Linked DNA regions of Sus scrofa. The protein of the gene in region 2 purifies or fractionates together with the protein of the main gene of each other region. This does not show direct contact. Links are inferred from orthologs where the notes say so. Each region holds a gene or a part of one and is shown on either strand. Other genes may lie near its edges.

Evidence for each region. Proteins that work in one complex are often made in the same cells at the same time.
Region 1: the proteins of UQCRB (region 2) and COX6B purify together in Homo sapiens (affinity purification with mass spectrometry; 3 studies listed by BioGRID and IntAct, counting the BioPlex papers as one, with this or other methods). This does not show direct contact. The link is inferred for Sus scrofa from reciprocal best matches to the Homo sapiens genes UQCRB and COX6B1.

Annotation. Positions count from the first base shown.
Region 1 is NC_010448.4:45,089,952-45,095,843, reverse strand, and holds the start of COX6B (cytochrome c oxidase subunit 6B1), read right to left. Parts: upstream 4,016-5,892; 5' UTR 3,861-4,015; intron 2,246-3,860; exon of another isoform or gene 2,132-2,245; 5' UTR 2,121-2,131; coding exon 2,015-2,120; intron 178-2,014; coding exon 77-177; intron 1-76. UniProt on the Homo sapiens protein: Component of the cytochrome c oxidase, the last enzyme in the mitochondrial electron transport chain which drives oxidative phosphorylation.
Region 2 is NC_010446.5:40,405,401-40,410,360, reverse strand, and holds the end of UQCRB (ubiquinol-cytochrome c reductase binding protein), read right to left. Parts: intron 3,908-4,960; coding exon 3,836-3,907; intron 2,522-3,835; coding exon 2,355-2,521; intron 1,514-2,354; coding exon 1,436-1,513; 3' UTR 1,281-1,435; downstream 1-1,280. UniProt on the Homo sapiens protein: Component of the ubiquinol-cytochrome c oxidoreductase, a multisubunit transmembrane complex that is part of the mitochondrial electron transport chain which drives oxidative phosphorylation.

The sequences.
Region 1 (5,892 bases), on a different chromosome or scaffold from region 2:
TGCCACCAAGTCATCACACTCCCCTCTGCTAAGACCTCACCCCAGTGTCCCAAAGGCCCCAGGAGGAGACACATACCCAGGATATGGGGCAGAGAGACTTGTACACACGCCGGTACCATTCGCACACGGAGACGTCACCCCCTTTAGCAGTCATTGCTTTCTCACAGCGGTGGAAGTCTGTGAAGAAAGGGGATCAGGGTCAGTCTAGACCAAGGCTGGAACACATTTCTGATCAAAACTCAAAGAAATACTTTTTACTTCACAACCAGTTATGCACAATCCTCACCCCACCCCCCAAGTTTCACAAAGAAAGCATACCCTTACACGTGCAGCTGCTAAAGAACTACTGTTCAATTTGAAAATTCTGGGGTCAGGAATGATAGGGCCACGTGAAAGGCAGGTGTGGAAATTATGCAAGTCCAGAACTGGGGCAAGGAAAGGGAAAAATGGCTTGATGCTGAGACGCTGGCATCCTAGAGAGGACATGAGGGGGATGGTCTGATTTATTAAAACCAGTAGGAAATTAATCTAAAAATTAATCTAAAAATTACTCCATGTATTACACTCCTAGGCACACTCCCTAGAGAGAAAAGCATTCACGTGGATACCAAATTACATTTATAAGCATGTCTATACAAGCGTGATTCTTGAACCCCAAACTGGATACCATGTGTCTGTGAATAAAATATAAAACTGTACAGTAGGGGAGTTCCCGTCGTGGCGCAGTGGTTAACGAATCCGACTAGGAACCATGAGGTTGCGGGTTCGGTCCCTGCCCTTGCTCAGTGGGTTAACGATCCGGCGTTGCCGTGAGCTGTGGTGTAGGTTGCAGACGCGGCTCGGATCCCGCGTTGCTGTGGCTCTGGCGTAGGCCGGTGGCTACAGCTCCGATTCAACCCCTAGCCTGGGAACCTCCATATGCCGCGGGAGCGGCCCAAGAAATAGCAGCAACAACAACAACAACAACAAAAGACAAAAAGACAAAACAAAACAAAAAACTGTACAGCAGTAAAAATGGGCAAAATATAGGAGTTCCTGCTATAGCTCAGCAGTAATTAACCTGACTAGTATTCATGAGGATGCAGGTTCGATGCCCTGATCAATGGGTTAAGGATTTGGCATTGCCATGAACTGCAGTGTAGGTCCCAGATGCAGCTTGGATTCCATGTTGCTGTGGCTGTGGCTTCAATTCAACCCCTGGCTGAGCTTCCATATACATGGGTGGCCCTTAAAAAAAAAAAAAAAAAAAAAGAGAGAGAGAGAGCAAGCAAAATACATGCCACAGCATCAATGAATCTTGAAAACTGTTGAAGAAATCCAAACACAAAGGAATACACACAGTATTTATAACATTCACAAAGAGACAAAAGCGGTGATAAAACCAAAATGTGATCGCCCTCTCAGTGGGGAGGTAGAGCGCTATTTTCAAGACAGGGAGTGCAGTAGGCAGGGAAGCTCTGAGTGCTGGCAGCATCTAGGTTTCTTCCAAATTACAGTTTCATGGGGGAATTCGAGTTTATTAATTTACTTGTACATTATGTTTTATGTTCCTCCTGTATGTATGTACATTTCATGCACGCATGCACACACGCGCACGCGCGCGCACACACACACACACACACCATCGAGGGGGAGCTTCGTGGTGGTCTAGTGGTTAGGACTCAGAGCTTCACTGCTGCAACCTGGGTTTAAACCCTGGTCTGGGAACTGCGATCCCATATCCCACGTCAAACTGTTGCATGCCATGGCCAAAAAAAAAAAAAAAAACCTTTTGTTTTTTACAAAACAAAACACAAAATCATTGCGGGAACCAAAGTTTGTGCCACTGGCCCAGATCTTGAACACACAGCTGGTGAGGAGGGGCGTGGGCCCTGCAAGGTAGGAATGTTCAGAATAAAAGTGGCCTAGGATGCAGAAGGACCCCTAGGAGGAGGCAAGAGGTAGGTGACTTGAGGTGTGGGACCAGGGGAAGGTCAACATTGCCCCCGCCCGCTCCAACCCATGTCCTGCTCACCCAGGTAGTTCTGCCAGCAGTTCCTGGTCTGGTTCTGGTTGGGGAAGCGGCTGTCAAAAGGAGCTGTCTGGTAGTTCTTGATTTTGGTCTGGATGTCTTCTGCCATAGTGCTGACTCCTGGGGCCAAAGAGAATGGATGCTGGTAGGGCTCTCAGTCCACTCAGGCCCAGTGGAGGCTGGATGCAGAACAGGCTGGGTGTGACCAAGTCAAGCCAGGCCAAGGCCCCCTTCCTTTCAACATGCACACAGAGATGAAAGGCAGGCAAGAACACGCAAAGTGTGGAAGTCACAGCAGGGTAGGGGTGGGGGGCTCAACTCTCTGGTAAAATCAGGCCTTATCTGTCCCAAAATAACACTAGTTGACACTCACCGAGTGCTGACTATTGGCAAGGATGCTTTATTCCTACAGTCACTCTAAAAGGCAGGAACTATTACTATTACTGTTTCACAAAGAGACAGGGTGTTTAAGTGACATCCCAAGGTCAGAGAGCACACATGCCGTGGAGCTGCACTCCATCACTGACATAACCTACACTGCAGGGGTTCTTAATCTTGATCCCTGCCATGAACTCCCCAGGGATCTAATGAACCCTTTCTCAGAATATGTTTAAATGTATTTAGAAGTTGCAAAGGATCACAAAGAAAACCGTTATATGCAGCTGAGGACTTAACTACACAATTTCGAAATAGTCATGAGTGAGGGAGTCCCCGTGGTGGCTCAGTGGTAACGAACCCCACTAGAATCTATGAGGATGTGGATTTGATTCCTGGCATTGCTCAGTGGGTTAAGGATCCTGAGCTGCTATGGCTGTGGTGTAGGCTGGCAGCTGCAGCTCCGATTCCACCCCCCCAGCTTGGGAACTTCCATATGCCCTGGGGGCAGCCTTAAAAAAAAGGAATGAAAATGATATTTTGTGACATCTACAACTGTAATGGGATATAAGATGACCTGTGGTTTTAATGATGCTAATACGACTATGGCCACTGCCTCCACTCCTAACTGAAGGAAACGCTACATTTCAATAAGAGATTAGTAAAAATATAGATGTAAAATTTCCCCCATTCAAGAACTAGAACCCCTTGAATTCTATGGATTCTGTGAACCCAGAGTTAAAAACCTATGACAGAATTTCTAATGAGGTGATACAGTTTTCGTCAGGGAACCTGAAAGAAATTGCCTCTATTCCAGATGATTAGAGAAGTCCTGGGATTACATAGAGGTGAGTGGACTGATGTTAAATCCAAGCGACTCAAGGTAGTGGTAGGGATCGGGGCCATCGAAATGGAGTCTTTCCGGGAGCGGGGCTATCTGGAACTCCAGCAGCTGGGACACACACACGATCGGAAGAATTATTTTGGAAGCGAGATCCACCCGATTTCAGGAGTGCGGTAGACTGGGAGTACCGCTGTGGCCCCTCCAACGTCTAAGGGGGTGGAGGCGCCAGACACCAAGAAGCCATGCCACAGCCCAGGCAAACCACAGGGGGTACATCTGGTGATTAAAAGCCCTGCAGTGCAAACTACTAGGTCCAAATCCTGACCTCTGGCTAAACCGCTTACTGTCTGAACTGCGGTTGCCTCCCTGTCAAAAAGGGATAATCACAGGCCCTACCTCATAGAGCTGGAGGGAGGATTAAATGAATCAATGTAAGTCGCCTGGAATGTTCCAGGCATTGAGGAAAAACTAAATAATCGTTAGCTACGACTATTAACTTGAAGAGACCCCCCCGGGCCCGGGAGGCCTGCTGCCGTCGGCCGGAAACCTCATCTCATTCCCTGGGAAGCAAGGGTCGGACTCTTGAGTCCCCAGGCTGGGATTCCAGGCCCCCGAGGCCTCGACACTCACCTAGAGTCGCGCCTGAAACCGCTGGAAGCTCAATGTGACCCTCAGCAAAGACGCCGGCGTCGGACCGGAAGCGGAATAAAGACCGGCCGGAAGCGGGACGAGACGCGGTACAAGGGAGTCTTCCGCGGGGCTGGGCTGGTCCAGAAGCACTTAGGCCACGCCCATGCAAGAGAACTCCGACCTTCTATTGGTCCGAATGCCTGTTCGTCCTCACTCCCAGCCCAATCGTGAGCTGAAGCGGTTCCAAGCCGTGGGCGCAGTCTCGTCTCCTCCCCGTCCTTACCGAGAGAGAAGGGCTCAGGGTCCTGTCCTGGAGGGAGAGTCCCCCTGTGGAGAAACTATCCCAACGGAAATACTCTTATTCATGCAATAATCATTTATTGAACGTTTACTCTGTGCCAAATATTTCTATTAAGTGTTGGGACGCATAGCTGAAGAAAACACAAAAATCCCTATTCTCGTTATGATTATTACTGGGTCAATTGGAAAATTGGAATTTCCAGGAGTTCCCGTTATGGCACAGAGGAAAAAAATCCAGCTAGGAACCATGGGGTTGCGGATTCGATCCCTGGCCTTGCTCAGTGGGTTGAGGATCCAGCGTTGCGGTGAGCTGTGGTGTAGGTCACAGACAACGCTTGGATCCTGCGTTGCTATGGCTGTGGCTAGGACGGCGGTTGCAACTCCAATTGGACCTCTAGCCTAGGAATCTCCATATGCCACCAGTGCGGCCCTAAAAAGCAAAAAAGAAAAGAAAATTGGAACTTCCAATTGGAAATTCAATTACTGGGGATTGCAAACAAATCATTCTTAAGGAATTAAAAACAAGCCATTCTTTCTCCCAGGGTCGTTCATCCCTATATGAGGAATGCCCAGACTCCATCTTCCTGCTTATTATCATGTTTCCCCAAACCTTAGAAGGCACATTATGTTTTGGAGGCTGCGTACCAGGCCTACACCATCCTAACTGCATGGGGGACGGAGAGCAAGTAGCCACCCAATAAAATACTTGGCAGTGTCAGGCTTAACTGGATTGGGGGCCTCCTGCATTCTGTGTTCATCAGGATTGTAATTATTTGTTTACATGCCTGCATTCATCCCTTTCAATGAGATCTTCCTAAAGCCCAAATTTCTTTGTTTAACCCCCCCCCCAAACCCTCTAACAAAGTCCAGGCTCCTTAATATGGTTCACAGATCCTTTTTTTTTTTAATTCAATGAATTTTATTATATTTATAGTTGTCCGCAGATCCTTTGTGAACTGACCCATGGTCCTCCCTCCAGCCACGTTGAGATATATATATATAAATATATACTTTTTTTGTTTTTTTTTTTGTCTTCTTGCCATTTCTTGGGCCGCTCCCACAGCATATGGAGGTTCCCAGGCTAGGGGTCTAATCGGAGCTGTAGCCACCAGCCTACGCCAGAGCCACAGCAATGTGGGATCTGAGCCGCATCTGTGACCTACACCACAGCTCACAGCAACACCAGATCCTTAATGCACTGAGCGAGGCCAGGGATTGAATCCGCAATCTCATGGTTCCTAGTTGGATTCGTTAACCACTGAGCCATGACGGGACTCCGTCACATTGATATTTTTGGTCTTTGAATAGTGATGTGAGGCCTACCTCCAGGCCTTTGATTATGCTGTTTCCTCCCATTGGAACATTCTTTGCCCACCTGACTTCTCATATCAGCTATTTTTTGGTCCAGGAAGTCTTCCCCGAGAACAACCCACACCCACACCCCCACCCTCTGTGTTTCCCATCCCAGCCCTGACCACGGTGGGTTGTCCCTGCCATCTGGTAATGATTTTGTCTCCCCACTGGACTGTGAACTCTCTAAGGGCAGGGTTCCAGGTTGTCTTGGTCATTACTGAATCCCCAGCATGGCCTACAGTAGGCTCTCTTTAAGCGCTCAGTTGTTCCCAGAACAGGGTAGACTTTCCTTGGGATCTAAGTTCTATGGCCCTTAGCTTGAAGTAGGAAAACAGAATAGGTGACTGGGGGGGCAAGCACCAGGTCTAATTCGCTGATG
Region 2 (4,960 bases):
TTATGGAATACCATGAAGGCTGCAGTTTCAATACTGGCCCTCCCTACAGTTCCATTTTTCACTTCGACCAAAGAAAGCACTTTAGAATTTAGTGGTGGGAATGTTATTACTTTTTTGTTTTTTCTTTTTTTTAGGGGCGCAACTGCAGCATACAGAAGTTCCCAGGCTAGGGGTCGAATCGGAGCTACAGCCACCTGCCTAGGCCACAGCGACAGTAATGTGGGATCCCGGCTGCATCTACAACACTGGATACTTAACCCACTGATCGAGGCCAGGGATCAAACCTGCATCTTCATAGATACTAGTCAGGTCTGTTACTGCTGAGCCACAGTAGCAACTCCAGGAATCATGACATTATTGAATAGCTCTAATTTACATTAAAAAATTAGACTATAAACTTAAAACTTTTAAACATTATTAGCATACCATGCTTACAATAGACTTTTTATTTTTTTGTCTTTTTAGCTATTTCTTGGGCCGCTCCCACGGCATATGGAGGTTCCCAGGCTAGGGGTCGAATCGGAGCTGTAGCCACTGGCCTACGCCAGAGCCACAGCAACGCGGGATCCAAGCCGCGTCTGCACCCAACACCACAGCTCATGGCAACGCCGGATCCTTAACCCACTGAGCAAGGGCAGGGACCGAACCCGCAACCTCATGGTTCCTAGTCGGATTCGTTAACCACTGTGCCACGACGGGAACTCCCGACAAAAGACTTTGACAATCATTTCCAAAGTGGAAAAGTCACTGGGGTCTATGAAGAAAGTATGATTTGACTTTACAATTTTTGCCTGTTTTTCTAGTCTACTTTTTGTTTTCTAATACATTAGCACAGGAACACAGATATATAACTTATACAGGCCCACACTGGGGTTGCATATGTAATTTTTTTAAGACAGAATGCAAAATCTATTATATTTGGACATCAGTAGCGGAAAAGGGCTGTTTCCTAATCCTGGCAAACTAGAAGGTGAATGCTCTCCCATTTCATTTGGAAACTTTTGAAGCTGCAGAGCCAGTCTGCTTGTACTATTTGCTTCAGGTAAAATAAAGTCACTGCTGCTTGTGTCTCGTTCCATTCCATCCTTGCAAGGGAGGCCTTGCTAGGGCTTTAACCCACAAAGGCAATATAAATATGACCATCCTACTGTTCTACTATTCTAAATGATTAAAGTGGCTTCTCTGAGCTCAGGACGCAGTTAACTACTAACTGAAAAGTATCCTAAAAGTTTAGAAAGAATTGTAACAGATACATAAATTCAGCAGTTATTAGGACAAGGTTTAGAATTCCAAAACTCCAATGATATTTATAATAGATATTTATTTAAAGTAATACATTTACAGCTCAGATAGGTCTACATTGTACATTTCGGGTTTAACCAAGTTCATAAAAATAGTTTGACGACTGCTGCATCCACAGATTTAGACTATACGATTATTTCTTTGCCCATTCTTCTCTTTCTTTTCTTTCCCGGATAACCTCTTTCAGATATGGTTCAAGGTAGAATTTATCCTAAAGAATGAATAAAAGAAAAATAATATAGACTCATCATATACCATAAATACTTAATAGATCTTTAACAAATCTATCAAAATTAAATTCCAACTTAAGAAACTATATTCTCAAGCAGTCTAAAAAATGTAAAAACTCATAAAAGATATTGTAATAAACTGCTTTGATAGATTATTACAAGAAAGTCTGTCAGAAAAGAAAAAAGAATGAGAATCTACAAGCTTTGGCCTCATTTCAGTGCAGTCCCAGGTTTAGGATTTTCTTCATAGAGTTCTTATTGAGCTAGAAGGCCACTCAATGGAATCACAGGAACACCATTGTTTTCATCTGAGCAGAAAGTATGCAGGAGAACAATGGCCCGGAAGGCAGAAGACCTGGATCCTAGTTCTGGATCCTCTATCAAGGACATGCTTGGCAATTTTGGAAGTCACTTCCCCTCTAAGACTCAATGTGTCCGTCTCTAAAATGGAGCTAGCATTTGCTTTACTAACCTCACCAGATTGTCCTAAGGATACTGATTTGACACAACTTTAAGAACTCTAAAGCACTACACCAATGAATGTCTTCTCTGTGTCCAATACTCAATTCCTTTTCTTTCCTTTTTTTTTCTGGCTGATCCCAAAGCATATGGAAATTCCCAGGCCAGGGATCAAATCCGAGCCCTACCTGTGACCTACGCCACAGCTCCGGCAACACGGATTCTTAGCCTACTGCGCCAGCTGGAGATTGAACCCGGGCTGCCACAGAGACAATGCAGGATCCTTAATTCACTGCACCACAGCAGGAACTCCTAAGAGTCCATTCTTAACGGCCATTATCAGATACATAAAAGCTGTACTACCTCCTCATATTTTGTCCACTGCTCTTTAGGCAAGATCTGCTGTCTCATAGTCAGGTCCAGTGCTCTCTTAATGCGAAACACCCTGTCGTTATAAAGGTTCTCAGGAAGCCTTCTTATGGCTTCTTTTACATCGTCATCCTCATATATTGTATCATCTCGCATTAAGCCTATGATAAAAAAACAAGAGTGTTTGATTGAATATGCATCTTAAAAATAACGAGTAGAATATCTTTATGACTTAATAACTTAATTTCATTCACCCAACGGGCAAAATATCAAGAGTTAGGTATGATGGAAACTCAATGCATTTCATACACACTAATGGGTTATTTCTTAAATGGTACTGTGGAAACAATACAAGCTTTTTAAAATCTACTGCCATAAAATTCACACTTTATCTACAGTAATTTAAAAAACATTTAAAATGTCTACCTTGTTTTTATTTTTTTTAATTTATTTTTTATTTTTTGTTTTTTAAAGGTCACACCCGCAGCATATGGAGGTTCCCAGGCTAGTGGTCTAATTGGAGCTGCTGCTCCTGGCCTACGCCAGAGCCACAGCAACACCAGACCTGAGCCGCGTCTGTGACCTAGACCACAGCTCACAGCAACGCCAGATCCTTAACCCACTGAGCGAGGCCAGGGATTGAACCCGAAACCTCATGGTTCCTAGTAGGATTCATTAACCACGGAGCCACGATGGGAACTCCAAAAAGTGTCTACCTTGTTTTTAAACACATATCAATAAACCACATCTCTACTTTCTTTTACTTTAATTCTGAGATCAAGGTATTAAAGAATCTTAAAATGACAGTGTTAAGGAACCAGTAACATTTCATGATGCTTCAATTACAACAGATGAAGTTCATAGCAAATTATGAAATTCCAAAAAAGTTCAGGCATCAAACAATTGTAAAGATGTCAGACAATATTAACATTTGAAAAATCTCTTCTTTCAAAGTTCATATAACTTAAATTTTAAAATGCAAAGTGGAGGAATTGAGAGGGGGAGCATATAATAACAAAAAGGTTCTGCTACCATATTTCAAGAACAGAAATCATTTCCACCTCAAACATTTGAGACAATTCCATCCTTCTCTTCTCAAAATAATAAAAAAAGGAAATGGACTTAAAAAATGAAATGTAACCTATTATTTTTTGCCACACCAACATCATATGGAAGTTCCCAAGCCAGGGATCAATTCTAAGCTTCAGCTGTGACCTACACCCCAGCTGGGCAATGCTGGATCCTTAACTCACTGTGCCAGGCTGGGGTTCAAACCCACACTGCAACAGAAATAACGCCAGATTTTTAACCTGCTGTGCCACAGTGAGAACTCCCAGTGTGACCTAATTTTTTTAATTTTCTAATGTACACAGGTGCAATTAATTAGCACATTTTGGGGATCCATAATAACGCTTGCAAAAGCACTACTCTCGGGGGGGGGGGGACAGAGGAAGAAAGAAAGCACAAATACTTACCCAGTTTATTAAACCCGGCGGCATTATAATACCATTTTCGTATACCCTCCAGCCACTTGCTTGATGCTGCAACTGATTTTATCATACCATTAGTTGCTAACAATTCACGTATAGTATACAGTAAGCCAGAGAATGAAAACAGGAAGGAATTTCTTTTAAAAGCATATACTCTACATATTACAGATAACTTCTTATTTTATCTATGAGCAAGAGTGACTGCAGCCAAAAAATTGGGAAGTCATGGGAAAAAAGGGTAAACTCAAATAACTAATGTACAAAAGATCTATAGACACAATTACAGCCCCTAGATATCTACAGGGGATTGATTCCAGGACACACACACACCCCGCCAACCAATACCAAAATCCAGAGAGCCTCAAGTCCCTTATGTAAAATAGTGTAGTGATAACTAAGCACATCTCCCTGTATACTCTTTTTTTTTTTTTTTTTTTTTTGCTTTTTAGGGCTGCACCTGAGGCATATGGAAGTTCCCAGGCTAGGGGTCAAATCAGAGCTGCAGCTGCCTGCCTACACCACAGCCACAGCAATACAGCAACGCGGGATCTGAGCCACATCTGCAACCTACACTAAAGCCCACGGCAATGCCAGATCCTTAACCCACTGAGCAAGGCAAGGGGTCGAATTCGAAATCTCATGGCTCCTAGTCGGATTCGTTTCTGCTGTACAACGGGAACTCTGTCATGTATACTTTAAATCATCTCTAGATTGCTTATAATACTTAATGCAAAATAAATGGTACGTAGATGGTTGTAAATCCAAAGCAAATGCTATTTCTATTTCGAACTTTCTGGAATTTTTTCCCCAAAATATTTCCGATCATGAGGGTGGCTGAATCCCCAGTGTGGAACCAGTGGATGTGGAGGGCCAACTCTACTGCCGCTCCAGCTTCTCAAAGTCCATTATCCCATTCCCTTCTGTTCCCCTGTTACCATCAGAACTGAAGGGGTGGGAGATGGAAGGGAAACTGGGAACTCGGAACTTGCCCATCATTTGTAGTTTCAGAAACAGATTACAGAAAACAAATGTAAACTTTCCAAGGGAGTTGGAGCTGTATGAAAAGGTGAGATTTCAAGATACGCTGGCAGATTTAAATGAGCCCCAGCC